Notamacropus eugenii: one gene and its partners. The protein of the gene in region 1 interacts with the protein of each later gene in a biochemical or structural test. Links are inferred from orthologs where the notes say so. Each region holds a gene or a part of one and is shown in the gene's direction. Other genes may lie near its edges.

Region 1 (7,120 bases):
TCTTGATGTCTTGTGGAGTCTTTAGCTTCCATTTGGCCAGTTCTAATCTTTAAGGAGTTATTTTCTTCAGTGAGGTTTTGCAGCTCTTTTACCAAGCTGTTAATTCTCTTTTCATAATTTTCTTGCATTGTTCTGATTTTTATTCTCAATTTTTTTCTCCATTACTCCCATTTTATTTTTTAAAAAGTTTGTTTTTGCTTTTTAAAAAAAAAAATCACTTTTTTAAACTCTTCTAGGAATTCTTGATGGGCTTGTATACAATATGCATTTTTCTTCAAGACTTTGTTTGTCAATGTTTTCAAGTCATTTTCTTCTTCTATGTTTATGTTTTGAGTTCACCTATCACCAGTCATTTTTTTTTTTTGCAATCAAGTTATTATTTTTTTATTTGCTCATTTTTCCAGTCTACTTCTTGACTTTGGACTTTATGTTAGTATTGGGCTCTGCTTACCTCTGGGGTGGCAGGAGATGTCAAGTGTGAACTATCTTTTATGTCTTTCTACTGCTTTCACAGCTCAGTCTGGGGGCTCTATAAATTTTCAGTGATGTGATCCAAGAAGAAGTCTGGTCTATGCTCTGCAAATTTCTGACCTGGTTGGGATCTCTTGGCTTGCATGTGGTTGAGTTTCCACAGACTGCTGCCAGACCCAGTCATAGCTCCCTAGGAGGTTCTGCAGGTTCAGAATGACTGAACCACTGGCTCCCCTTTGGTTTTGGCCCTCTGCCTTGGTTTATTCCACTGCAGGCTTATGTGCAGAACTAAAGGCTAGAACTGAGTCCCCCAACTCTGCTGTTGGGCTCAGAGACATACAGCTATTTTTCTGAAACTTGTTCCTTGCTCCTTAAACTTTGCTACCTTACAGGTAAGACGCTTGCTCCCTTCTGACCATGAAGACTCCTCTCCTCCCTAGAAATGTTACCCCAAAATAAATAATGGGCAACATAGATGCTAAATGGCAACCATTCCTGCTCCCAAAGCTAGATCAAGGGTGCCCTAGGATCTCTTTCTGCCCAGGTATTCAGTCCCCTTACCATCCTACGGCACTGGGCTGCTTTCTGCCACTGCTACTGCCATGAACCACAATTACTTTTACCTGTTGCTCTATTAAGCTCCAGACCACCCTCCACCCCAGTGTCCGCAGACCTCTTTATCTTCCAAAGCTGCCATGGACTGAGAAAAAATTATTCATTGTGAAATTTTCTTGGCTTTCTCATTCAGAATTTAATCTGGCATGCTTTCTAGGTCATTGTGGAGGAGATGGTAGAGAAACTAAGGCAAAAAAAAATGCTATTTCTCACTTTGCCATCTTGACTCTACTTCTATTAACTCTTTTTCATTTAATACAAGAATTTTCAATTTATTTTTAAAATTCAATTTTCTGCTCCAAGTTCTCTCCCTGCCTCCACCCCTCCCCAATCCAGTGAAAAAGCAAGAAATATGATACCCATTGTATATGAAGTTACATTATGAATTATATATGAAGTCATCTAAAACATGTTTACATTCACCATGTTCCCTTCCCACCCACCCCCAAAAAGGCAAGGAAAATAAAGAAAGGAAAAAAGCATGCTTCAACTTGCACTCTAAGACCAAATCCTTTATCTAGAGGTGGAAAGCATTTTACATCATGACTCCTCTGAAACTGTGTTAGATCATTTGTATTAACCATAATTATTAAGTTGTACACTCAATTATCTTTAAAATATTGCTGTTTCTGTTAGATTGTTCTTTTGGTTGTGCTCACTTCGCTTTGCATCAGTTCATGTAAATCTTCACAGATTTTTCTGAAGACAACCCCTTCATTATTTCTTACAGCACAATAGTATTCCATCACATGTTCAGCCATTCCCTCAATTGATGGGCATGCCCACAGCTTCAAACTTTTTGCCACCACAAAATAAGCTACAATAAATATCTAGTTGAATTTGTGTTGTTGTTCAGACTTTCTTTGCAGATGTTTTGGAGTCATTCTCTTCTGGATTTGTGTCTTTAGGGTTCTTTGTCACTATGATAGCATTTTACAATGTTATCCTTTTTTTTTTTTTTTTTTTTTTGCTCATTCTCCCATATTACTTCCTGACTTTGGAGTTGATATTAGGGCTAGGCTCTGCTCTCTTCTGGAGGAAATGTCCGGGGTGTTGTTGCTTTCTTGGGGTGTTAAATTCTGTGTTATTCCAGGATGTCAGGAACAGCTTAGGCTTCTGATCTACAAAAGTTTACTGTTCCCAAAGTGATCTGTTTCAGGACAAAGTCTGATCACTGTTCCCTAATTTGAGCTGTGTAAATTTCTTACCTGGATTTGGAGCTGGGAAACCAGCTAAGAACGTCTGCTGGTTCAGAGTTGCTCTGATTATTCCTTTGCAGGATTCAGACTTTTAAAAGCTGGAACTGAGGCTCCACTTGCTCCTGGACTTGAGCCATACAGCTGTTACTTGCTTCTGAACGTAGTAGGCACTCAATACTTATTCCATCCATCCATCTAATGGTATTACTTTTTATGCTTTTTATGTTTTGTGTCTTATATCATTTGCTATGTTATATAATACATATTATTTATATTACATTGTGACCTAATATAACATGTTATATATATATATATATATATATATATATGTTTTTAGTTATTCTTAGTTTTTCCCTACATACAGTATTCTACCACCCACTTCCATGCCTTTGCATGGGGCTGTCCTTTATATCTGGAATGTCCTGCCTCACCTCTTTCCTTTCGAGACCCTTCAAAACTAAAGTGAACATTTAAGTGGCACAGGGGATAGAGCCCTAGGCTTGGAGTCAGGAAGACTTGAGTTCAGATCTGACCTCAAGACGCTTACCACTTGTGTGACCCTGAGCAAATCAATTAACCTCTGTTTACTTGTTTCCTCATCTGTAAAATGGAGATAATCATAGTACCTTCCTCATAGGGTTGTTGTGAGAATTAAATGAGATAGTAACTTTAAAGTACAGTGCCTGGCACATAGTGAGCACTATATAAATGTTGCTATTATTATAGGATTATTATTATTTTCTCCAAGAGTCCTTTCCTAATTTCTCCAATCACTGGCATCATTTCATAGTTGTATTCACTCATCTGGAGGGCAGAGACTGTATCTCTCTCCCTAGCTTCTAGCACATAGCCTAACACATAGTACAGACTTTAAAATGTTTGTTGACTGGCTGAGGTTTGGACTTCAGTTGGTAGGCAACAGGTCGACACTAAAGATTAGTAAACAAAAGAAGCGACTTTGTTTACAAGGAAAAGTGGCCAGAGGAGAAGTGGACTCAGGAAGTGCTGTTCAAATGGTTCAGGTGAGTAGGAACAAAGTCCTGTACTAGGGTGATGGCAGTAGTGATAGAGACCAACCAGTCTAACTTGTCTGGGGCCCCCTTATCCCCTCCCCCCACCAAAAAGAAGGCACTAAAGCTCTGGGACACTTGGGAGAATTCATAAAGGGATGGCGGAGAGGCAGCTGTCCTTTAGATCGGCCATGGGGGGCAGAAGAGGGGGGTAGGGGAGGGGCAGGCAGCAACAGGTGCATTGAGTCTTGGCCCCACCCTGGCCCGGGTGGGTCTGCCCCTCCCCTGCTTTCCCTTCCCTTTCTCAGAGTGGGAATGGAGAGGCGGGGCTTAGGGTCTGTTCCCAGACTGGTACCCCCTCCCCTCCTCAAATTCTCCTGGGAGACTGGGCAGGCGCCGGGTTCGGAGGGGGGAAGCATCCGGAGACAGTGCAATTTCACGGAGCCTCGGAGAGGCTAGGGATCCTGCGGACCAGAAGGCTCAGTCGTGGGGTCTCATTCCCAAGGGAGGCGGGGGAGGAGCAGGAGGCAGAAGCTGCTCCCTTCCCCCCCCATCTCAAGAGGGATAAAAACACCAAAGTGGACCAACCGGCCAGGGAAGTAGGAGGGTGGGATTTACATAATGGGCGGGACCAGCCTGGTTGAGAATCCCTTCTTTATCCACGGGGGTGTGCGTGGGGGCAAGTCTTAGGAATTTTCTGCTCCCCCTCTCCTCGGGGAAAGTGAGGGTGAGCCTCTCCGTCTCTCTGATTGGGCGGAGCAAGGGGGTTCCCACCGTCTGGCCAATGAACTCGGGGCCCGCGTAAGGCGGGGCGGGCGGTGCAGGGTAGCTCAGCACGAGCCGGGTGGAATCGGGCGAGATCGAACTTCAACCCTGCGAAAGTCGGAGGCGCTGCCAGCGCTGGCGGGTCCGGGAGCGGCCGTGACTCACCCCACTCCCCACACACGTACGCACCCCCCCTTCCCTCTCTCCCTCCGCCCCCCACCCCCTGCCCTCCCTCCCCGGTCCCTGCTCCAGCTCTAGATCCAGCACCACTTCGCGTTTGCTACCTGGACGGACTGCGCCTCCGCCTGCTCCCTTCCGGGCTCAGGTGCCTTTCTCAATCCCGATGTCTTAGCCTCGGAGCCCCGGCCCGGGCTCCCTACCCCCGGCACGCAGCAGCTATGAAGGGCTTCCTGGAGCTGCAGGTATTGGGCTGGCTCCTCCACCTGACCAGGGGCTCGGAGGTGGGCAGCTCGCAAGCAGGTAAGCGGGGGCTGCGGGACAGGGGAGGTTGGGTGCTGCCGGGAGCTCCAAGTGCAGGGAGGAGCCTGAGGAACCCGGGGGCTTGCGAGCCTCGGAAACAGAGGGGTCAGTGCCTGCAGCCCCTCTTCAGTACCCTCGGGGTGGCCCCGCTCTAAAGCGCTCGAAGCTTGAACTGGCTGGACGTCCCCCCAACCCTCCACTCCCGCCCGCCTTCTGAGGATCCTCCTGGGGAAGCGATTGCTTTCTCAGTTCCCCAATCTGGTGGAACCCAGGCATTCTGGGGGTCCCAATTTGTAGAGATGATGTATTGTGTTATATTTTCTCGAGAAGTGAATCAGAATTGGAGCCTAACTTCTTTTCCCAGTCCCGTCTCCCTGGTTCCCCCGGTTTCAGGCACCGCCAGTTTCGGTGTTTTGCCGGCTCTGGGAGGAGCTAGAATAGGATTTGGGGGGGGTGGAGGGGGCAGTTGTTCCCTTGTGTTAGAAAAATAGGTCCGGGCCCCTCCCCTTTCTTGCTTGTTTGTGTGAGTGCTGGTGCGGGTGGAGGTGGGGGCGGGCTGGGCAGAGATTAGCCAGAGGGCCAAGTCCAGGTGATAGTGATAAAGAACTTCAGAAAACCACTCCTGTCTGCTTCACCCCAAGCTACTCACGAAATCTAGACTTTAGCAAATCCGACCACTGTAAAACTTCTTGCTTGCGCTGGAGACGTGAAGGAAAAGGAGGCTTAGACAGTCTGTCTCCTCTTATAGACAGAACTTAAGGAGACAGTTCTGAAAGGATTGTTCCTCCCCCCCAACCCCTTTTCTTGGGTATCTTTGATCACAGAATGCTGGTGGGATTTAAGGGGATCAAAGAATTAGACATTTCTACTGCCATCTCTCTCAATTTGGGGCTTGGTGAATTTTGTGCCCCACTCACAGTAGGGGTGAAGGGAGTGGGAAAAACACCTGTGTTTCTCCACAGTTGCTGGGTCTAAATTTAGTCTCTGGGACCTTGAATTGTGAACACTCCCAGCTGGAAGAATTGAGGAGGAGTCTGGTATAAGGAAGGGGTAGTGGTTGCAGAAAAAGGATGACAGTAGCTACCTCTCCCTCAGACTGGGAATCTGAGAAGTTACCAGCAAGGAAACCAGGAGTTCTGGCCCCTGGATCTATTCCTGGGGGAGGAGAGAAGAAGGGGGGGGTTAGTTCTGGCCAGGCCTTTCTTTATCTGGATTTTCAGCCTCTGGGCATCCGGCCTCGTCTGGGTCTCTCTATGCTCCCTTTGTCCTAACGCTGGTCAGGGGTAGAGGAATGTTGGAGTTGAGGTTCACATTGAGGATCCCCAGGGGGAGTAGTAGGAGAGAACAGTCTCTTCCTTTTCCACAATACTGTCTTCCTAAGAGGGCCTTTGATTGATAACTTCTCCCCATGTTCCTGGATAATTTGGGGACTTGGATGATTCCAACCCACCACAAGTACCTACTTTCTCCCTAGAAATGACTGCACTACTGACTTCAGGCTCCTGGTCCTTCATTCCTGCTCTTTCCCACCCTCATCTACTGCCCTTTCCTCTCCCTTTTTTTATGTGAGGTGGATTTTATTTCTGTGGGTAGGAGACAATGACTTCTAATTCTCTGTCCCATCTCCCCAAGCACACAAGAATCCATAAACATATATGTTAATGTGATTGTCTTGTGGGGACTGTAAAAGATTTTGGGGGATGTCGTTTGACATAGTAGCCCAAGGCAATGTACCAGGGTACAAAAGCATTCCTGGAGTGGTTATGGCTGGTGGGGGGAGGCTTTGAGAAAAGAGGTAGAGCAGGGGCAAAGACATCATATATTCTCACTTATTTTTTTAAAAAAATCTGTGTCTTTCCTATGGGAGTGAGGAAATTCTCTACTGATGCAGCTCAAAAACTCTTATGCCATTTACAATCTTAAAGAGTTGTTAAGGTGACTTGTCCAGAGTCACCCAACCAGTCTGTCACAGGCTGGATTTGAACCTCTGCCTTACTCTGAGGCTAGCTCTCTAGACACTAACTTGTACTATTCTCAAAGACATATTCTCAAGAACATCTCTGCACACAGAAATACAAGTCTGATTCATAGGCATGGAGGAAGGCTCTGGTGAAGGGGTGTCCTTGTTAGCAAGAGGGGTAGAGGCACTTGGTTCTAACTTGCTGGTGTATGAGTCATCTCTCAGACAGAAGCAATGCCATTCTCAGCCTTCCTTCTTGTCCCTTCCAAAATGACAATGTTGATTCCTGGGTTCATGCTGAGCTCCATCCTTTCTCCCCTCCCCCTTCTCAGTAAAGGAATCCTGAACAGGAGAGTAGTGTGGGGAATCTTTCAAGGGATCAGGACTGGTATGGAACTAGCAAGAGGGGGTTCCTTGGCTTCCATTCCCCACATGCCTTCATGCCTGCTTCCTGATGAGCTGGCAGTGCCCCCAAGAAAGAGAAGTTGCAAACAGGTGCTCTCTCTGCTCCTGCCCCCAACTCCCAACATAGACTTTAACCCACTGGAAAAGGGAGGGGACCAGAGATCAAGGGGGCAGAGATACCTTGAATTGTTCATCATTTCCTACATCAAAATTGT
Region 2 (7,493 bases), on another chromosome or scaffold:
AAGGAAACTGAGGCCTAGGGAGAGGAAGAAACTTACTCAAAGCTACACATGTCACAGGATCACAGGCCTGAGAGCTTAAAGGGACCTTATCAGTTGCAGTAAATAGAAGAGCTAGGAGAGACTCTAATAACTGCAATAAATAAAAGAGCTGAGAGAAACTTTATCAATCATCTTGTAACAGAAGAGCTGGCATTTGGGTCCAAATATTTCCATCACTTTTCACTATACCACAAAGCAAGTACAAGGTAACACGGGGTCATCTCACAAATTAGCCACACCAATCAACAAGCGTCACATCATTTTAAGGAAAAGTGTTGGGACACACAGTTCTTTTGCCCTCAAGAATAGGGTCCTTTCTGCTACATTTGAGCTTTCTTCAATAAGTGGATTTTTTTAACCCTGTATATAATTGAGAAATTATATTAAGTGCCCTTGGTAGATGTGACATGCTTATGATTTCTCTGCGTGTCTAAAACTGATACCCTGATCCTAGGTTAAAGATGAGATTTCCCCTAGGGAACAGCCAGCAGCATATGTTGTAGTCCAAGATTCTTCCCAGGTCTCATTCTCTGATCCTATGATCACTCCAATGACTAAATCCTCCCCCTGCCCCAACCCTAGCACCATTCAATTATGTTTATCAGAGATTTATTGAATCACCTGTCATCAACAAAGTCACTGTTACCCTCAGTCAGGGCTGTGCTGGTCAATGTTTAACAAATGGGTTCTCAGGGGAAAAAAAATTATATGCACACACTTCTAAGTTTAATCTGCATTTTTAACACTTTCTTAAGTTTAGACAATTGATAAAACAGTAAACCAAGCCTTGATTTGTAGCATTTGCACATTTCTTAGGTATAAATTACCTACACTGAAAATTTAGCCCTGGCTCTGGGCTCCAGTATGTACCTTTCATCAACCCTTCACAACCATCCTCGTTTGTGCTTTTGTGTGTGTGTGTGTGTGTGTGTGTGTGTGTGTGTGTGTGTGTGTGTGTGATAGCATGTGCTTAGGTAAGGGGGGACAAGGAAGAGAAGGGGAGGTGTGGCTCAGTCTGAAAGCCCGGGATGGAGCCACAAAGCTAAACATCTTCCTCAGGTAATTGGGATTTCATTTATGAAACATTCCATATTTATTAAATACCTACAGTGTGAAGGGCCCTAGGTGAGGAAGCAAAGTTGAGTTAAGGCGCATGCTATTTATTCCTGACCCGGTAGAGCTCACAGTCTATGTTGGATATCTGATACTTCTGTTCCAGGACAGTCCTCCAGAATTCTAGTGCCTTCTCTTTGCTGATTATTTTCAGTCTATCATGTACATAACATGTTCACATATAGTTACTTGAATGTTGTCTCCCTCAGTAGACTGTGAGTTCCTTGAGAGCATGGGCTATCTTTTGCCTCTCTTTGTATCCCCAGCACAGTACCTGGGACATAGCAGGTGCTTATCAAATGCTTATTGACAGACTGACTAAGGTGGCAGACCCTAGGAAACTACACACTGGCCTGAAGAGACCTCGGCTGAGGGGAGGATTAAGAGGGGGTGGTCAAGCAGGCTCAGTGCAGTGACTCAGGGCATCTATCTCTATCCATGCCTTCCAGTAATGGCTCCCATGACACCTTCGAAGCCTATTATAGTGGGACATCCACACCCTCCTTCCAGGGATCTCACTGCAGTGAAAGTGATGGCAGCAGTCTGGGTTTGGAACAGCTGCAGGACTACATGGTGACGGTAAGGCTTAGGCAAGGTCAGTGCCACTTTTCCAAGCTCTGGAGATTACCCCAGCTCTCCTGCCCTCTTTCCTGAGCCTCTATATCTTTTTGCACTCTGTGGAAGCCTCACTCACAGCATTCCTTATCCCCACCCCTATCCTCCCACATCCATTCATGTCCCTGTCTACTTCACCTATCTTTCTCCTTCCACATACTCACATCCAGTGGTGCCCAATGAAACCTCTGCCTCTTTCCCTCATGTGCCCATGGGAGCTCCCACCTCCCCCTTTCCTTCCCTGGGAGTCTACATACTCCCCTATCTCGTGGGACCCCTGCTCACCTGCCACCTCTATTCCCATGCTCAGATCTCTCAGTGTAGTCCTCTGATAGCACAGAGGGCAGAGATATGTGTCCCTGTACTTGAGTTCTGTCCTAGGTCTCCATCCTCTCCCTGATTCTCTAGGAAGCAAACAGAGAGGGGATATATGGGACTGTGTTCCCCAAAACACTTCTGAGTAATAGAGCACTGAGATTGCAAGCCATCTCCCTTTCCACTTTGCCCCCTGAATTGCCTACAGTCTCACCCCCAGCAGTCATACTAGCCATACTTTGCCAAATTCTGTGGAACATGGGCCCCGCCATAGGTCTATCCTCTCTTTTGCCTAGTCCCACCTTCTGGCTCCTCCCCACAGTTGCGAAACAAGCTGTCACCACCTGAGATCCAGCAATTTGCCCTGCTGCTGAGGGAATACAGGCTGGGGCTATCTGTGCAAGAGTACTGTGGACATCTTCTTCGGCTCTATGGGGACAAGAGGAAGTTTCTTCTCTTGGGTGAGCATGCTGTAACCTGTCCTCCCATTTCAAGAATCAGCCCTGGACCCTGCCTCTATCATTATTGTCCCCTTCCCCATTAACAGTCACCATCATGTGGCACAGTGGAAAGAATGCTGGATTTGGACCACAAGGAACTGGGTTCACATGCTAGATCTGCCATATACTACCTGTATAATATTAGACAAGTCACTTCATTCTGGATCTTAGTTTTGTCCTCTTTAAAATGAAAGGGTTGGATTTGGTGATCCATAAATGCTCTATAGGGTCTTGCCCAATTATCACTATGACTACCTCTGCCCCCATTATCTCCCCCCATCATCACAATCCCTGTGATAATGGTCATCACTATCACCACCTACTATTTCCACCCCCATTATACCAGTATCATCACCACCATCACCCCAATATCTATCCCCAGTACCTTTCCCTCACCACCCAATTCATCAAAAATTTATTGAACTCTCTAGATATTAACACCATTACCACCATCCACCCTTCACAACCATCCTAATGACCACTAGCATCACCACCATAAGAAAAGCATTCCTATGTTTCATTCAACAATCCTATTGATTAAGAACCCTATGCAGAGCACTGAGAGAGATAAGACTGAGGATGTGGTACCTGTCCTTTTAGAGCTTCCTCTAATGACTTCATAAACATGCTAAAAGCATGTTTACCTGTGGGACCTTGCTAGGCAATGCCCAGGAAACAGTACATGAGAAGGCTTGGCAGTGTATCCCGTTAAGTCCATTTCGACTCAGTGTCTGATATATCTTCTGAGAGATGAGAAAAGCATTGGATTGGAGTCCGAGAACCTGGGTTCAAATTTGGACTCTGCTATTTACTACTGACCCCTACCATTTACTAGTGATACTCTTTGGGTGACGGTTTCCTTATTTATAAAATGAAAGAGTAGACTAAATGCCTGAGGTCCCTTCCCGCTCTCAATCTATGACCCTATAATTCCCAGCCACTCCCTCTATTACAGAACTACATGGGGCTGAGGATACCAGTCCTGCTAATTCAGAGGCTCAGACTGGGGCTTCCCTTTGGCTGGGAAATATAGGGCAGGAGACAGTGGGGATGACAGAGCAGCCACCTGCCTCTTGGCCCCTACAGGGATGCGGCCCTTTATTCCGGACCAGGACATCGGCTACTTTGAAGGCTTCCTGGAGGGTGTGGGAATCCGAGAGGGCGGCATACTCACTGACAGCTTTGGCCGGATCAAGCGAAGTATGAGCTCCACGTCGGCCTCTGCTGTGCGCAGTTATGACAGTCGAGCTCCCCACCCAGAGGCCGAGGCCTTCAATCGAATTCTCACTGGCATCACCCATGACATCGAGGCCTTGGCACAGGAGGGAGAGGAAGAGGACAGTGGGGATGAGGAGGAGGGCCCAGGTAGAGCTGAGGAAGGAGAGGACAACTACCTGTGAGAGCCCTACGCCCCAACAACATGTATTGGGGGTTGTATAGAGGGCATAGATGGTATAGCTACGACAAAAGTGTTTGTGTCTGAGATGTGGGTAAAGAGACCTGGGAGATTTTCACTAGGTCAGGTTTGATGTGGTATAATGCAAAGACCATTAGATTTTAAGTCAGAGGGGCTTGATTTGAATTTACTACATAGTAACCTTGGGCAAGTAACCTAAACCCTCTGGGACTCATTTTTTTCATTTGTGAAATGGGGGATTTGGACTAGATGAAGGGTTCTTACCAGGGGTTCATGGAGAGGGTCCATGAATAAATTTCAGAGGGATCCATGAACTTGGATGGGAAAAGAAATTATATATTTATTTTTATTAACCTTTAGTTTCCTTGGTAATCCTATGCATTTTGTTTTCTGTGTTTAAAAGCACTATTCAGAAAAGGGGTCCATGAGTTTCAGTGGACTGCCAAGGGGTCCAACAAACACAAAATGGTTGCATCTCTGTGACAGATGGTCTCTAAGGTGCTATTGATCTCTAAATATTGTGATCTATATACTCAATGAAGGCAGATGCTCAACTGAAAGCATTTAAAAATGTTCCCAGAGCCTGAAGTAGGGGTTGGGAGGGTAGTGAGGGAATGGGGACCTCAATAGAAGAGATAGGGACTAATTTCAGAGGTGGAGGAGGCAAATAACTCAGGGGACTCCTGATTCCAGCCCTGACAAGGGAGCAAGAACATTGTGGCTGGCCCCTGCCCTGGCTATGGCAAACTAGTCAGCTCCCCAGCTCTTTCCCAGTTGAGGGCTATGGTGCCTCTGCAGTACTAAGTTCTGCCATCAGGGGGGTTGTGGGTTTGGTTTTTGGTCACTCATGATTTTTTTAGAGGAACTACTTCACGTGGGTTCTCAGCAATCCAGGCCCATACTGTCCCTTTGGTGGAGGGCAGGGGGTGGAGTGGGAGGTGGGGCTCCTTAAGCAAACCCTCTTAGTTCCGAGTTTGCATTAGCTTTGGTGCAGCTGTAAAAGACGGATGGTACCATCTTGGCAGACTGGATAAGAACAAGGTAGGGACTACTAGGGGGAACACTGGATCTGGTTAGACTGACTAGGGTCCAGGACAACCCTCTATCCCTCCCAGTAGGAAGATGAACTATGGAAAACCTATAGGACTTGAAAGGATCCATTATTTCGTCAATGTAGGTATTCTTTCCCTTGATACAGACTCCGATTCTTTTAAACCTTTGAATCTGGGTTCAGGAGTTGCTGTGGTCCAAAGAACCATCCTCTGGTGGCTGGTCTTCAGATAATGAAAATTCTCTGAGTTTAGCAAGATTGAACAACAGAGGCATCTTAGGGTCCCAGAGACCTTCCAAATTTCCAGAAACTACCAGAGCTTATATTCTTGGTGCTCGGGGTCTCCTTGGGGCCAAAGAAGGCCCTAAAGGAGAAAATCCATAGAAGATAGAGAATAACCTGATCTTAATAAAAACTAAAACCCTTTGACCCAGAAATACCACTTTTTAAAAGGGCTGTGTCCCCAAGAGATCATAAAAGTCCCACATGTACAAAAATATTTATAGCAGCTCTTTTTGTGGTGGCCAAGAACTGCAAATCGAGGGGATGCCCATCAAATGGGGAATGGCTAAAGAAGTTGTGGTATATGAATGCAATGGAATACTAGTGTGGCAAACAGAATGACTTCAGAAAAGCCTGGAAAGATTTATATGAACTGATGCTGAGTTAAATGAGCAGAACCAGGAGAATCCTGTACACAGTAACAGCCGCAGTGAGCGAGGACTGTTTCTGGTAGACTTAGCCCTTCACAGCAATGCAAGGACCTAAAACATCCCCAAAGGACTCTTGAGGCAAAATGCTATCCACTTCCAGAGAAAGAAGTATGGAACTAGAACTCAGAATGAAGCTCTTTTCTCTTGTGTTATGTTTTCATTTGGTTTGGTTTTTCTCATGATTTTTCCCATTCGTTTTCATTCTTCTATACAACATAAATAATGTGAAAATGTGTTTAAGAATGTGTAGAATTCATATAAAATTGCATTCTGTCTCAGGGAGGGAGAGGGGAAGAGAGGGGGAGAAAATTTAAAACTGATGGAAGTGATTGTTGAAAACTGAAAACTAATTATGTTTAAAAAAACTAAAAGGCCTATTCACTCATCATCTCTTGAATGAATGTTTACATATGATTTCCATTTAGGATCCCAAAGTGAAATTCAATGACAATAATGGAATATGGACTGGGAAGGATGTTCAGGATGATCTAATCAACCCCATCATTTTACAGAGGAGGAAACTGAGGCCCAGAGAGATTAATGGAAAGAACTCTGGACTGGAGGTTCTATTCCTAGCTTTCCCATTATTTCACTGCCTCACTTTTGGGAAATTATTTTCTTTTTCTAGTTCTCAGTTTCCCCATATATAAAATGCAGGGGTTGGGATAAATGATCTCCAGAATCCCTTTGAACTTTGACAGTCCATGCTTTAGGGTTCTTTCCAGCTCTGATATGCTATGTTCTATGTTCTAAGATTATGTTCAACCCTGATATTTTATATTCTAAGGTCCCCCTAGCTCTGACATTCTTTAGCTTTCTGTCTTCTTGTGGGGGTGGAAGGAGAAGTCTGGGTCTTTCTATCTCACCCAGATTGGAAGTACAGTCTACACTCATGGGCCCAATTGGCAAGAGAGCTTTGACCGGCTGTAGTTTTAACCTGGACTAGTTTGCCCTTCTTAGGCAGCCTAGTAAAACCCCCCCTCCAGTAACCCTTCCCCTTTACCACATTAATACCAAACCTGTTATAGAAACTGGCTTGGTTTTTTAGCCCTAATGTAGCTTTGAATTCCTAAACTCAACCCCTACTGAAGTTCAGAATTATCATGCTCAAGCAATCCACCTCCCTAGGAGGTACCATGGGTATAACCCCCATCCAGGAACTTTCTAAGTCTTTACTGACTAGTTATTGTGTACTTGGTCCAGTGTTCAGTTCCTTGAAGGAGGGGAGCAAGAGAAGAAGCAAACAAGGTCTTTGATCACAAGGAGCTCATAGTCCAGTTAGGAAGATTCACATATCAAAAACAGAATTAGGACAAGGCAGAATTAAATGTTAGACTTAATGTAATGGAGGGTCCAAGTTGGCAAAAGATAGCAAATGCTCTGGACCTTAGGAAAGGGAGGGGGTCACTATGGCACAGTTAGGAAAGGCTTCCTACAATAGGTGGAACTTGTGAGGGGTAGGATTTTGACAGAGAAAGAACAGTGGGGAAAACAATAGAGATGTACAAGGGGGAGCCAGAACAAATGAAGGCATAGAAGTAGTAATCAATTAATTAGTGAGCATTGATTAAACAATGGTTCTAAATCAAGAACTATGCTAGGCCCTGGAGATACAAAGCAAAAACCAAATGTTTTTTGCCCTTAGGGTCCCTACATTCTATGGGACCTAGTGTGTTCAGGGCATAGTGAGGGGGTCCTACGAAGACACAGCTGGGAGCTGCTTATAGGGG
Region 3 (7,869 bases), on another chromosome or scaffold:
GAAAGGCAGTATAGAGTCTTGGCCTAGGAAGACCTGGGTTCAAATCTTGTCTCTTACCTCTTCTATGTGGTCCTGGACAAACCACTCTTGTGGCTATGGAAATGGAGACAGTCCAAATAAGTTGAGGAAGTTGAGACTGGATTAGTGTGTCTCAGAGGATTAGCCCTCACCTTTTGGGGAGTTGAATGTCTAAACTCCATTTTCAAGTCGTCCTCACATTGGCTCCTTCCATCCTTTCCAACATTTTTTTGTGTGTCTACAATCTTATTTGAACCATAATTTTAGTCCAGGGGTGGGAAACCTGCTTCCTCAAGGCCCCATGTGGCGCTTTAGGTCCTCAAGTGAGCCTTTTGACTGAGTCCAAGTTTTACAGAACAAATCTACACTTGAGGACCTAGAGGGCCACATGTGGCCTCGAAGTAGCAGGTTCCCCACCCCTTCAGTCTAGTTGGATTTGTCACCATCCCCCCACATTGAGATCCTTGCCAGAATTTTCCTTCTTCTCTTGTGTTATGAACTGAAGTTTGGAATGCAGTCTTTGAATGCCACCTAGCGTCTCTATGGGAGATGAACCAACACCAAATTAATGGAAGAAGTATGTCCAATCCAGACATAAACCCAGGCAGGGTTTATTTGAACAATAAAAATAATGTAATTCAATAAGCATTTTTTACCTGTCTGTTATGTATAAAGCACTGTGCTGGATGTGGAGGACATGCACAATTTAGTCAAGACATGGTTGCTGTTCTCATGGAGTTTGTAGTCTAGAAGAAGGAAAAGATCCCAATAATGAACTTATATCATAAAAGAAGACAGAAAACTCTGTCTTGGGAACCATTATTTCCCCTTTCCAGTGAATTTTAGCCACTTTGGGGGAATAATAATTTTATTTCTAATAATAATTTCCTTCCAGTTGAATATAAACTCTCTGAAGACAGGGACTGTTTCATTTTTTTGTCTACTTGTCCTCCAAATGTGTCTTGTACATTCCCAGGGCTGCTCTTTTGCTCTTTGTCTTGTTTTGAGTTCTCTCTCTTTTTTAAAATTATAAACTTAATAATCAAAATCAAATAAAGCATTTTCATAAGGGAAAAACAAGAAAATGAGATTGCGTATGAAATTGAAGACTTTTGTTACATGTAGTTTGTTTTTTAAAAATATATATACATATGGTATTAGAGGAAAAAAGAACAAAGTAAAAAGTACACAGCAGAGAACATAAGAAAACAAACAAGGAAGAAAATAAAAGACGGACAGTTCTAAATATAATGCATAGTATGTATTCTACAGACTTTCTTGAAATGGAAATTTATTGCTATATATTTTGAATCCTCTCTTACATTCTGCTGTGCACATGACATGTTTTTTTTCTTATTTTGTATTTGTTTCAATATGTAATTTGTTTCTTTCTCTTTTCTTATTGTATATTTAAGTTTCAGTAATACAAAAATTAAAATTTAACAAGGTAGTTACAAAATCACAGTTTGCATTCCCTTCTGAACTTCTTTTTGTTTTCTTTTACGTATTTTGAAATGTTTTATTGATGATACTTCTGTGTTAACTCTCACTCAGGCCAAACTTGTCTACTTATCTCCCAAATGTGCCTTGTATATTCCCAGGTTTGCTCTTTTCCTTATCTGGAAGGTTCTGCTCTAAAAAAATGATCATAACCAATGTCTAGGAGCTAGTTCCTGGGAACTAGTTTCTTGAGAATATCGATATTCAAGAGCTATAAACAGATATAGGGAACAAAGGATTGGACGTGAGATTTCAAGCCAGAGAAGATGTTTATTTTCTCATAGGAGTTAAGCTAGGAAGGAAGGAAGGAAAGAAGGAAGGAAGGAAAGAGGGAGGGAAAGAGGCAAACAAACTTTACAAATATTATCTTGCTAAGTCTTCAAAACTACCCTGGGAGGTAGGTTCTATTATGATTCACATTTTACAATTGAGGAAATTGAGGCAGACAGAGGTTAAGTGATTTTCCTAAGGTTGTAAAACCAGTAAGTGCCTGAGTTTAGAGTATGTGACACACTTACTGAAGGAAACTTTATCTTTCCCTTCCATGATTTTAAAAGCAACTGAAGCACAGGTTGTGTATTTCTCTTTCTGAGTTCATGAATTAGAGGAATGCTGATACTTAATTTATAGAAGAGAAGACTCAGGGGGAACGTTAGCCATTGTCAAGCATTTGAAGGGCTGTCATGTGAAACAGGGATTAGACTTGTTCTCTTTGGTCCCAGAACAACGACTGAAGGATGTAAGGAGGCAGATTTAGGCTTGAGATCAGGAAAAGCTTCCTAGCAATTGCAGTTATCCCAAAGTGGAAGAGGCTCTCTGAAGAAATGGTGTTCCCACTCCTTGCACGTCTTCGAGCAGAGGCTGAATAGCACTTTATAGCACATAATGGGGATTCTTTTTATGTATGGTTTGAACTTAATGTCTGTTGAGTCCCCTTCCATCTCTCAAATTCTGGGATTCTATGCATTTTCCTTCTGGGTCAAAGGAAATTGGTGAGGAGGTAAGAATTTTAATGGGAAATTGGACAAAAGTTATATTTGGAGATTTTCCCAGATCTCTGAGTAAGGGAAAAGTAGCCAATTTGTGATAAATAAGTTAAGTATTTATAAAATATTGCATGAGAATTATTTTACGTTTTAAGTACTAGATGAATCAAGAGCAACCTGTGCCAAAATATTAGGAGGTAGGGCTCCTGGGCATCTATGCCCAACTATTTGCTTTTCCTCCTCTTCTGCCCAGAGATGGGGTAAGTGCTTTAGTATGGGGGATGCCCCCTAAAGGTATAGTTAACTGTATCAGCTGAGAGACCCTTTTCATGGGGGTGAGGGGTGGGGCAGTGTATGTATGTTAATTTCATCTACATGTTGGGCTTCTACTTATTCAACCATGTTGCCCCCAACTTTCAATGTCATCCACAGTGATAGACTTGAAAGACTTTGTGATGTAGGTTCCATTCCCTTGGCCTATTGGAAATTTAGTAATTTAGTTAAAAAAGCAAAGGAGGTTAGCCTGAAATAAAACAATCTTGATGTATTCATACTGACCCTTACTTAGTCAATGACTCAATCAACCGATGAGCATTTATTAAGTGCCTGCTGTGAGCCATTGTGTCAGTCATTGTGTTAGTCTCTGAGGATATGAAAATGAAAGTCGCAGTCCTCCAAGAACTTACATTCTATAAATGGGGATATAACATGTGCAAATATAGACATCTGCAAAATATATACACAAGAAACACGAGGACTTTTCTGAGGGGGGAATCAGGAAAGCTTTAATATAAAAAGTGGTGCTTGAGCTGAGTCTTAGAGGCAACTTGGGATTGTAAGAGACAGGTATGAGGCAGAAGTACATTCCAGTCATGGGGGACAGCCATTGCCAAGGCACAGAGATGAGAGATGGAATGCTGAGTATGAGGAATAGTAAGAAATCCAGTTTGACTGCATTGTAAAGTATATGAATGGGAGTAACATATTATGGGGCTAAAAAGAAAGATTGGGACCAGGTTGTGAAGTGCTTCAAATACCAGACTGGGGAGTTTATATTTGATCTGAAAGGTAATAGGGAATCATTGGAGTTTATTGAGTAGATGAATGACATAGTCAGATCCATATTTTAGGAAAAGTCACTTTGGCAGTTTTATGAATGAGAGAATTGAAGTGGGGAAAGAATAATCACTTCTCTTCTTAAATTCTCACAAGCTATACGTGTTAATAAGGTTCTCAAATTGTGAAGAATCATAGGACCTGGCAATGGAAAGGGCCTGAGGCAGCTAGGTGGCACAGTGGATAGCACCTGCCCTGGAGTCAGGAGGACTTGAGTTTAAATGTAACCTTGGATATTTACTAGCTATGTGATCCTGAGTCAGTCACTTAACCCCAGGTTGCCTTCTCTCAACCCCTCAGGAAGGGACCACTGAGATCATGAAGTCTAGCCCCCTTACTTTAAATGTGGAAACAAAGACCAGAAGAGGAGAAATGACCTTCCTAAAGTCAAAGAAATATTTCATGATAGTGTTTCAGAGCTGGAAAAATCCATTTTGTTTTTCTGATTTTTTGTAGTGAAGTGAAAGCCTGAAATCTGTTATTAATAACCAAAAGGTTGTATGGAAGGAGGGAAGGTGACTGGACTGAACATTAGCAGGAAGAGTAGATATGTATCTTTTTCCCGAGAAAGAGAGCAAGATTTGGATGGCAGCTGTGGGAGTGAGAGAAGGTAGGTTGATCAGATCGTGAGTGCTGACTCTACTGTCTTTTGATTCATCATCTACCTTCTCCTGGTCAGGTTTTGCTGAAGCTTCAGAGATGACTTAATATGAATCACTGAAAATGACTGCCCTCCCAGTGCCACCCTCCATGGTGCCTGGAGAGGAGCAGCTTAAGGAGGAATGCAATAAGTTCGTTGCTTTGAGGTTGCTGTCCTCTGAAGTGACATACCCAGACATCCAATTCCTTTTGTTCCTCTCTCTACCTTAACCTCTCATTTACCCCTTTCCCTATTGCCTTATTGATTGGTCCCTCATTTGCCTGTTCATTTTCTCAATCCCTTGCTTCCTTGTCTTCCTTCTCCATCCCTGGTCTTGCCCCCTAATCATTTAGAAGTGACTTTAGACCAAAAAGAGAAGAAAAACAATAATCTGGAGATGGAGATGTCCCTTTCAGGTCGACTTATGCATAAGGTAGTGAGGTCAGGGAGTGGTGTGAGTGAGTGTGGGGGGCTGTTGAATCCTGGTTCAGAGCTGATATGTTCTCCAGGGACCTTAATGACAAGGCAATAATCTAATTGGGGTTCCGCTGTCGTCATACATCAGCAGGGGAGTGGCTCACAGGGCAGGTTGCCACTGAAGTCAGAATAAAGGGGTGCAGCTTTTGTGGGAAGAGCCCCGCAGGTTGGTGGCAATCACTCCAAGTTGAGTTGTTCTGTCAGGGTGAGGTCCAGAGATCAGCTGGGCCAGCTCTCTGTTGTCAAAATATTTAAAGTTCCCAGGAGATGAGAAATGTGTTCTGAGTGACATCTTCCTGAGAGAAAGAAAGATTCCAGAATCCTGAAGCTCCTCTCAACATGGATTTAAGAAATCTTTCACATTTGGGTCCCAAATACCTGTATGTTAGCCTCTGGGACTTTGAGGCACGGACAGAGGATGAATTGAGCTTTAAGGCTGGGGACCTTTTTCATGTAATAGAGAAGAAGGAAGATTGGTGGAGAGCCACAAAGCTTGATGCAGCTGGAAGGAGCCTAGGAGAAGGCTATGTCCCTCACAATTACTTAGCTGAACAAGAGACAATGGAGACAGAACCGTAAGTAAGAGGCAACCAAGGGAAGGAGTCTGGGCTCGTCATCCCTTGGAACGTTACATTTGTTGCTTGTGGATGCCATTCTGGGAAGTAACTTCCCACGGGGCTCTTAGTTACTCCTTTAGCACTGGCAATGCGGCTTAGGATCATAAGATCATAGATGCAGTGCTTGAAAGGCCATTTTCTAGATGAGGAAACTGAATTTCAGGGAGGTCCAAGGTCACACAGGCAGCAAACATCAGAGGAAGGATTTGAACGCAGACTTAATTCTAGAGTTAGTGCTCAGTTCCTACAGCTACCAATCCCAGAGAAGAGGATTGGATCCCACTAAAAATCCTGGAACAACTTAAAGGAAAAGCCAGAAAAAACCTGAAAGTAGTTGTTGTAGTGACCTATGGGACCTTTCTTGGCATGTAGGGAGGAGGAGTTTTTGAGAGTGGTGGGTTACCCCAAGTGGAAAAGAGTTCAGGCATCCCAGTGGTAGTTTGCTGTTCTTGGTTACTTTTTGCCACCCCAAGGAATTACTTTGCATATTGCTGCACCACACTTGGCATTACCGTCAGTACCTCAAAGAACTGTGATTTCACTAGTCTGCGTGCTCCCTTCACTAGTATAGATTATGGCTCCTCCATACCTCAGCAGACATCATAAACATTGGTAATGACCAAACAAATTCATTGAAGTTATCACTATAGTATCATTACTAAGTTGTCTGCAGCCCAAGCCTCTTGGGCATAATTTGGAATGAAGGTTTTAAAAAAAAAAAGCTTGAATATCTTTTTCACAAGAGGCAATGTGGTATACTAGATGCTGGATCTGGAACTAGGAAGAGCTGGGTTCAAATCCTACCTCTGATATTTACTAACTGTAACCCTGGACAAATCACTTAACTTCTCTGAACCCAAGACAAGACTCGTTGTTAAAGTTCTAAATTTCACAGTGCAAAGTAGGGGAAGGTCTGATTCTTTTAGGGCTTTGTCAGTTGCTTATAGTTTTGTATTTGGGGCTGGAAAAAAATGGAGGTATTAGCTTTGGGAATTCCTTGTTCAGAGAAGAATAGGTGGGTCACTAGCCCCACTTGATTGTCATTTAGCCAGGCTTCCTGGGGAAGGATAAGATAGGATCAGTGGGTATTACTTTCTGAGTGGGTGAATACAAGCAGCTTGAGGTAGAGAGAAATCCTATATCGGCTTCTCAAAATTCAGAGAAAAAAGGACATTGCCGGGACTCACTTTCAAAACAACCACAAACTGGAATCTCAACCTAGTTAGTGGGGAGAGAGAAAGAGTGTTGCAACACCTTCCAGCTCTGTAGGGCGGAGGAGCAGGGTGGAGAAAGCTGTGTTGCCAAACACAGACAGCTGTGCTGGTGGGTGTCCACTTCCAGATTTTCCCCTCCTACATGGCTTCTTCAGAACTTCTGACAGGCCAGTGCACCACTGGCAGTAACAAACTGATGAAGGATGCTAGCCCAGCCACGCTGCTGCCCTCAAGTATACCCAAATTAATTAGCGAATGAGAAGCTGGCCACCTGAGTTTGGTTTGTGTAATTTCATGGTTCGCAATCATGGTTTGGAGATAAGACCTTGGAACAAAATAAGTTTCCTCCCCTCTTTCCCATTCTCCTCTACTGCAGCCTCCACTGGTGAGTATACCCAAAGAACACCAATGATCTGAGTTATGAGTCCTTTACAACCCTCTTGGCATCATTTGTTTTCGCTAACATTTGAGCCAGCTGAACATTTGTGAAAGAAACTCACTTTGACAGTTTGAGAACGAAGCTCGAAGAGATTCTGTCGAATACCTTCCACTATCAGGGAATAGATGTTATCAGTAGGAAGTCAGAAGTTTCCATGAAACTGGCCTGGAGATAAGAGCTGAACAGCTGTACAGGTAGTACCATCCAGAGTCCAAGGAGGTAGGACAAGCAATTAAAAGGCTGGTGGGATGAATGTGCTGACACTGTGAAACCAAGGCAATATACGTTCCCTAGATCATGGTCCAAAATCATACTTTGGGGTTATTCCTGAGACTTGACCACTGGTGATCTATCTAAGGGGCTAGGAGCTAAGAAAGCAACACTCCCATAACCAGAGAGGATACATGTTGGTGTTCTCATTTCCCTACCTCCAGGTCCCAAACCCCATGTATCATGGGAACTTTTATGACATGTTACTTCTCCTTACCGTTCCTCTCACTGATTCTGTGCTAAAGATCTTCTCCCCACATACGCAATTTTTGATAATTTGTTCCTATAGTTCTTCAATTACTTCCCCTTGGAGTTCAATCTATACCAGGAGTTATATGGTTCTTGGGTAATTATTTAATATGCCTCCAGTTTTCCTTCCTTCCTCATTCTGCCTTAACGAAGCCTTGCTGTTTCAGCTTATATAGAAGGGGGTGGGTAGAAATCACTCCATGTTCCTGGGGCCAACTCAGGCCAGGGGCAGAACTAGGTGACTAGTGGTGAACAGTAAACACTTAAACACTGGTTAAATTAAATTGAATTTATGTTACAACCTCTCTAGACAGTCATTCCTGCTGCCCCTGCTACACTGTAA
Region 4 (7,202 bases), about 120 Mb from region 1:
AACAACAAATCTTTTATTCTACTGTTATTTTGAAGTTAAAGAGAGACAGAGAGGTAAAGTGATTTGCCCAAGGGGATATAACTAATTAGTGACAGTACTGGCACTAGAACCAAGATCTCCTGAAGCTCAGTCCAATTTTTCCACTGTACCACAATGCTTCGCTTGTTGAAAAAATCTCTCTGTTCTCAGCTGTAATTTATTCCTGTTTTATGTTAGCTTTACTATATCAAGAAGTATTTTCATTTCTACAAATAGCAGCCTAAGGTACTAAGTGCCCAACCTGCAGCTAGAATGACCTGGTTCAAATACTGCTTTTGATACTTACAGAATGATCTTAACTTCTTTGAGACTCTTTCCTCATCTGTAAATAGAGACAATTCCTGAGTTGTTTTAGGTACTAATGACAAAACATAAGGGCTTTGAAAACTTTAAAGCACTTTAATGCATGTGTAAACATAAGTTATTATTGACACAAACACACAGAGTAAAGATTTTCCAGAAACAGTTCCCCACCTCCCCTATCAGTAAGCACCCCAACATACACACTGCATATATATGTGATACCAGGAGGGCCTGCTTTCACAGATTTTTAGATCTATATTCACAAAAAGAAAGCAACTTTCAAGGGGTTAACAATCACTTTAATCAGGCACATGTATCATGCCTTTAACCAAGTACATATATCATTCAGTTAGTTCAGGGGAGTCAGAACCCTGAATTTCAAAGAAAATAGAGAGAAATCAAAAGATCAACAGATATGGCTTCCTCTGCTTGAATTCAATAGACAACTGTCTGACCATAGTTATCAGAGAAGGAAGCATGATATCTGGTTTCTCAAAGCTGGGGGGCTCCTTAGCCACTTCCCAGAGTCCTCATCTGACTAAACAAACATTTCCAGTCAGTAAGCCCCAAAATAATCAACAGACATGGCTTCCTCTGTGACCATAATTCAACAGACAGCTACAGCTGTCTGACCATTGTTACCAGAGAGGGAAGTACCACATCTGTGTTCTCAAAGCTGGGGTGCAGGGGGGTTCCTTAGCAGCTTCCCAGAGTCCTCATCTGGCACTTAAACCTTTTTACCAAAAACTAAGCCCCAAAGTAAAACCTCAACCTCAGAGTATTTATACCTTTTTTTTTAGAGCCAGAGGGCATACCCACCCTTGAGAGCCAGTGCCTCATTAACAAAAGCGGTGGGTGTTCCTATAAATCTTCCCTAATCAAACTCCCCTTAATAGGTAGGCTCATTTATGGATGGGGAAGATCTTTGGTTGTTGTCCTTCTGGACCAAAATTACATCACAATGATAAAAGTGAAATTTCAGTGTGTCCAATTGTGGCTGAGCAGAGCAATATGAGCTCGGAATGCTCTACCACAGGTTGGGCACAGACAGTCTGGGGAATATTTGGGGTAGTGACCCCAAATTTGCGCATCCTACATCTACTTTGTGCTGTCTCAATTCTGCTTCGCTCCTAGAGGACAGCACCCTTTCTGATGTGGGCACACCATGCTGAGTGATCCTGTGCCACTGTCTCCCAAGTTGTATAGTCAACTCCAAAGTTCTTGAGAGAAACCTTGAGAGTATCCTTGTATCGCTTTTTCTGACCACCATGTGATTGCCTGCCCCATGTGAGTTCTCTATAAAACAGTCTTTTTGGCAAGCATTCATTTTGCATTTGAGCAATGTGGTCAGCCCATGGGAGGTGCGCTTTTCGAAGCATAGTTTGAATGCTTGACAATTCAGCTCAAGCAAGGACTTCAGTGTCTTTCAGTGGCTTTTCCTGCCAGGTGATCTTCAGAATCTTCCAAGACAGTTCAAATGGAAGTAATTCAGTTTCCTGGCATGGTGCTGGTAGACTGTCCATGTTTCACAGGTATGCAACACATATACACATGGTTAAAGAAACTTGTTTCTGTACTTTATTCCTAGTAAAGACTCTTGATCATAAAGGCAAGACTCAATGAGGCATTTGATTACACTAAAACAAAAACAGCAAAAGATCCTAACTTTACTTGCCATTATACTCCCCAAATCAAAGGTTTTATTAACATAAAGTATAGCATACAGAATGTTCAAATTTGCCACTCTCCTCCCCCGCCAATCTATACCAAGTAGAATTATTTATACCCTTTTTCAGTCCATTACAAATACAACTTGGGCCAACTGCAAGTCATTCAGTCAATCACTCATTAAACATTTGGTAAGCCAGATAGCATGCTAAGTGCTCTGGATACAAAAAGAGGTAAAAGACAGCTCCAGACCTCAAGGAGCTCACAGTCGAAGGGCAGAGACAAGTTAAAAAAATGAAGGTGAACCAAGAGACAGTGGTGTCACAAAAATCTAGAGAGAACGAAAGATCAAGGAGAAAAGGGTGATTGACCGTGTCAAATCTACAGAGAGGTCAAGAACATGACTTGAGTAATGGCCATTGGATTTTGCAATTAGGAGGTCATTGGCTACTTTGGAAAGAAAAGTGTTGGTGGAGTGGTACGGTCAGAAAACAGACTATAGAGAATTAAGAAAGTAAAAAGAGGGACTTGGCAAATGACCTTCTCAAGGAGTTTAACCACAAAAGGGAGGCGAGATAGGGGACAGCAGGATGGAAGGAGCAAGTGAAGATTTTTTTGAGGATGAGAGAGACATGAATACGTTTATGGGCAGTACAGAAGAAGCCAACATACAAAGATTAAACATAAGTGAGAGTGGGATGACAGCGGGATTGCTTGTGTAGAGAGAAAGATTGACCTTGTCCAGGGCTACCGAGGGGAAAGAGAAGACAATGGTGGAAGGCACCTGAGGGACATCAGGAGCAGGGAGAAGAAGGAGCTCCCAACAAAGGGCCGTATTTTTTTCCTGTAAAATATGAGGCAAGGTTCTTAGCTGAGGGTGGGGAGAGGGGGTAGTGGGAGCCATAGGAATTTGAGGAGGGATAAAAAGGTTTGGAAAAGCTGGTTTCAAGAGTGGGGGAAATAAGTTGATGCGGCAGGCTGCCCAGCAGCAGTGAGGGGTTAGTTGAGACGGTATAAAAGTGTAGTGGACTCATTCAGAATGATTGTGTGACTTATTTCAACTGCGCAGGGGAAGGCCGATGGTGTCCGAATGCTGAAGATGGAGACGGAGAGAAGCCAGACTGAGTGAGGCACTGAGTGCGTGGAGGGAAGAAGGAAGAGGGGGTGGGAAACATGGCCTGTGCGGAGCTCAGAGGAGAGGGTGCCAAGGGGCAGCAGCAGGCAGAGCCAGGGGCGGCGATGCCAGGCAGTCAGACTCGTCCAGAGAGCTAAGGCCAATGACCAAGGAGGGGATCCCTTCTTCCTTCCCAGGACTGTGGACTCCGAGATCCCGTTCGCTCAGGTTTCTCGGCCGTTTAAATGCGCCCCGGTCGGAGCCTCCCCAGCGGCCTCGGGTCCAAAGTGCCCGGCTCGGGGTCCTTTCTCCGGGGAGGCTGGAGAAGAGGCTTCGCACGCCGGGCCTGCACCCACGTGCTGAGCCGCGGCCTCGTTCCGCTCCTTCTCCCCCAGCTCCGGGAGGGTGGAGGGGCCGTGGGAAGGACCCCAGACCCCACGACGTCCTCAAGTGCTCCGGAAGCAGACTTCCCGGAAGTAACTTCTCCGTAAAGTTTTAAATTGCTTCCCAAGGTGGATCCTGGGACCGCCCCGTGTGACCGTGGGTGGGCGTGGGGGCCCTCCGTCCACTTGCCGGACGGCTCTTCATTCCGCCCAAGCCTCCCCGGCCAGGCCGGACCCCCATCCTGGAGACGTCAGGCCCGGGCTCGGCCCTTCTGACCGAGTGACCCTGGCCAAGTCACTGCCCCTCCGCAGGCCTCAAGCTCCTCCTTAAGGGAGGCTCCCTTCCACATCACGGCTCCCAAGGGGGCCCGGGAAGGACGGAGCTGGAGGCAGGGAGCTCGCAGGCCCTCAGCCGCCCTTCACAGGCCCGGCCCGGCCCGCCTCCCGCGGACGCTCCCTCGCCCTCCCCAGGGGCGCCCCACCCACGTCCTCCGGCCGCTCTCTCCGGAGCCCACCAAGGCCCATAGCCCGCCCCTCCCGGGCCTCGGCCAATCGGCCGCACCCGCCTCCAGGGAAGCGGAGGCGGAGGCCGGGGCTGGGAGAGGGGCGGGGCTTCCCGCCTTCTCCGGCCCCCATTGGCCGCGGGCTCGAGGGAGCCCGGAGACCGGAGCGCGACGGGATTGGCCGAAGCGGGTCGGGGCGGCGGCTCCCATTGGCTGGCGAGGCCCCCGTGACGCGAAGTGGTGACTGACGGCTCCGGGGCTGAGGGGCTCCTGCTTGTCAGGTTCTAGGTAGGTGCATTTCCGCGCGCCCGGCGTCGCCCCGGGCAACGCTGGGGGAGCGGGAAGGGCGAACCCGCGTCCGGGGCAACACCCCGCGCCCTCTGGGGGGCGCCCGGGGCTCGGCAGCCCAGGCGGCGGCCTTGGCGGGGGCTCCTCCTCTTCCTCCTCCTCTCCACCCCCCTCCCGCCCCGCACACCTCCCAGCCCCGGGGCTGTTGCCCACCCTCCCCCCGGCTCGCTGGGGGGCTTCTTGGGTGCAGGGTGGGGCGCAAGCTTGGACGCCCGAGGTCGGAGGCACGGGCCTGGCCCTCTGGGGCCCCTAGGGATGGGAGATAAGGGAGGAGGGGAGGTGGCTGGAGATGGCTCCGCCCCCGCCCCGCCCTGCCCCGGCTGCTGGGTCGGGGGGTCGCCTGGTGTCTCCAGAGGAGGACTGTGTGGTCCCCACCCTCTCCCAGTTCCTCCGCGTGGGTGCCTCTCCCTCCCCTCGCCTGCGCTAATGGAGGGGGCACAGCGCGGGGTGGGGGCAGTGGGAGGAGGCACAGCGTGGGGTGGGGGCAGTGGGAGGAGGCCCCCCGAGGCCTGGAGGGTTGTGGTAGTTGAACTCCCCCCATTTCCTTAGTTTCCCTAGGGTATGAAAAGGACGAGGTCTTATTTTGGATATTCTTAGCTTAATTCCTGACAAATAGGTTTTTTCTCCTTCGTTTAGTCAGTCTGCCTTGGGAACGAAGTGACCTCGGGTTTGAGAGGTGTTAGTAGGGGTGGGAGACATTACTTAAAACCTGTAGGACTCCATGGGTAAAGCATTTTAATTCATTTTTTGGGGGGGATACGAATAGTTGATCTCACTGTGTGTAGTGATTTGTTTATATTGACAGATATTTTTGTTTTCATTTTCCATTCTGTATTGTGAAAAAGTGGCAATCTTGTAAGTTCAGAGGAAGCAACAAATTGCAGAGTTGACACACATTTTGAGCGACGACTAATATTCTACAATTGAATTTAGTTCTTTAAAGTTTTCTCCCTATCCCTCTCCTCCCCCTCCAAAAAACCAGGATTTTATAGATGTAACCTGCCTTGGGCCAGTCTCTTGAGGTGGTGGGCGTGGCCAGAGGCAAGTTGCTGAAATATAAATCAGTTTCACTGCAAGACGCTACAGTATCTGGACCCAGCACGTGTTATAGTGGGTAGAGACCTCCTCTAAATCCACTTGAGACACTTGGTAACTGATGCTTCTGCAAACTTCAAGAGCTGTGGAAATGGCAGATCATTATTATTGTTACACCAGATAGAAACATTGGTCTCACCGGGAAGGAGACATGGTTGGGAAAGTTAAATTCCAATTAACTTTGCCACAGATTGCTATTTTGGACAGCTGTGTTATTTGGAATGAGTCATTATTCTTTAATAAGGAGGTAAGCATTGTGATGAAGGCTTTTTGGATTCTTGGAATGAGTAGTTTTGGTTGTCTAATTACTTTGCTGCAGATACTTGTATCAGTGCAGGTTTTTTCCTGATCTTCTTATGCCCTGTGATTCTTAGCCATATTTTCCCATAAAACCCATATGCTGAAAGCCATCCTCTATTTTCAGTACTTGGGATTTTGTTATTCTTCATTCTTACTACACGATTAGCCCACCTCTTTTTCTGGTCATACATTTCCTTCGAGATGTCTTCTGTGCCACTTCCAGTGTTGTTGATTATAGCTGTAATAACATTACAGCCCACTTAAGACTATTAATCTTTTCCATTACCCTTTGGCTACTTGTTTTGACTCAAGAATATTTTGTGATTCTTCTCATTCATGTTGTATCATTTTGAAGGAGACAGACATGCATCAGTGAACAGTTTAGGATACTTGAAAACATGCAGTTTTCCACATGTGATTCAGCCCTGCCTTTCCCTCCATTCTAAGACCATCTTATGTCCCATTTACATAAACTACTCAAGAAAAGTCCCTTTTTGGACTAATTTGATGACCTAACCATCTAGATCATTATAAACTAGATAACTTGTAATTTCCGTTCAGTTTGTCTTTGTGTATGTAGCTAGAACACTCACGTTACTGTGGATTTTACTGAGGCACTATAATGCTTATTGTGAGGCTTGATACATTTAGTAGCACTCTATAAAATTGCAGTTCTAGATATTGTTTTGTCAATGCATAATAGAGATACCATTCAAGATTTATTTTTTTAAAGGCCCAATTGGTGAAGAGCCTTGAGTTTGCCAGGAACTGCAATTTACAATCTAGGACTCTTGAGAAATAGCCAGATTTATTGGAATTTAGTTACTGTGAGATAAATTCTTAAGTGGACTTGTGATCTCTTTGATTTGAGTATGCTTTGCAAACCTTCAAGTGTTATATAAACACTAGCTATTATGAGACTGAAGCTGATAGCCTGTCAGACTTGCCACAGGGAATAAGTGGAGCTCACTTTTGAACTTGCCTTTGTCATGTGACCAACCTGTCTTCCTATTCTACAATTTCTTGATGACATATTTATTCTTGTTTTGGAATTCTGTGTTTTATGTTGCAGCATGCTCAAACTACTCATGATATTCATTGACTTCTGTGTGAAATTCATTTTAATTTTTCAGAGCCAGTGCTGTTTCTGGTCTTATAACCACACTGGTAAAATGGTAGTATTAAAAAGATGGTCCTTTACTTTCATGAAAAGCTTAGTGTCAGTAAAAGAGTTTTGCAGTTTCCAAAAAGCAGTCCAGCCTGTTCTTTTTCTCTTGTTCAAGTTTGTGCCTGGAGTTTCAGACATACTTACTGTTAGACCAACTCTATAGGGTGTCATCTAAATGCATAATGAAATCTGGGCAATAGACATGCATTCATCCATTTGCTCTGTCTAGTATGGATGGTTAGGCCAGATTTCTCTGAGTGATCACTAGGAGGATTTGCAGT

Evidence for each region.
Region 2: the proteins of ERBB3 (region 1) and HCK form a complex in vitro, tested with the Homo sapiens proteins (2 studies listed by BioGRID and IntAct, with this or other methods). The link is inferred for Notamacropus eugenii from reciprocal best matches to the Homo sapiens genes ERBB3 and HCK.
Region 3: the proteins of ERBB3 (region 1) and PTK6 form a complex in vitro, tested with the Homo sapiens proteins (2 studies listed by BioGRID and IntAct, with this or other methods). The link is inferred for Notamacropus eugenii from reciprocal best matches to the Homo sapiens genes ERBB3 and PTK6.
Region 4: the proteins of ERBB3 (region 1) and FER form a complex in vitro, tested with the Homo sapiens proteins (2 studies listed by BioGRID and IntAct, with this or other methods). The link is inferred for Notamacropus eugenii from reciprocal best matches to the Homo sapiens genes ERBB3 and FER.

The regions. Positions count from the first base shown.
Region 1 is NC_092874.1:231,337,034-231,344,153, forward strand, and holds the start of ERBB3 (receptor tyrosine-protein kinase erbB-3), read left to right. Parts: upstream 1-4,106; 5' UTR 4,107-4,458; coding exon 4,459-4,540; intron 4,541-7,120. UniProt on the Homo sapiens protein: Tyrosine-protein kinase that plays an essential role as cell surface receptor for neuregulins.
Region 2 is NC_092872.1:431,189,200-431,196,692, reverse strand, and holds the start of HCK (tyrosine-protein kinase HCK), read left to right. Parts: upstream 1-4,484; 5' UTR 4,485-5,040; intron 5,041-7,493. Other genes in the region: CCM2L (cerebral cavernous malformations 2 protein-like), read left to right, coding at 1,602-1,731, 2,405-2,543, 3,669-3,982. UniProt on the Homo sapiens protein: Non-receptor tyrosine-protein kinase found in hematopoietic cells that transmits signals from cell surface receptors and plays an important role in the regulation of innate immune responses, including neutrophil, monocyte, macrophage and mast cell functions, phagocytosis, cell survival and proliferation, cell adhesion and migration.
Region 3 is NC_092872.1:497,212,935-497,220,803, forward strand, and holds the start of PTK6 (protein-tyrosine kinase 6), read left to right. Parts: upstream 1-4,869; 5' UTR 4,870-5,076; coding exon 5,077-5,312; intron 5,313-7,869. UniProt on the Homo sapiens protein: Non-receptor tyrosine-protein kinase implicated in the regulation of a variety of signaling pathways that control the differentiation and maintenance of normal epithelia, as well as tumor growth.
Region 4 is NC_092874.1:352,619,482-352,626,683, reverse strand, and holds the start of FER (tyrosine-protein kinase Fer), read left to right. Parts: upstream 1-4,183; 5' UTR 4,184-4,298; intron 4,299-7,202. UniProt on the Homo sapiens protein: Tyrosine-protein kinase that acts downstream of cell surface receptors for growth factors and plays a role in the regulation of the actin cytoskeleton, microtubule assembly, lamellipodia formation, cell adhesion, cell migration and chemotaxis.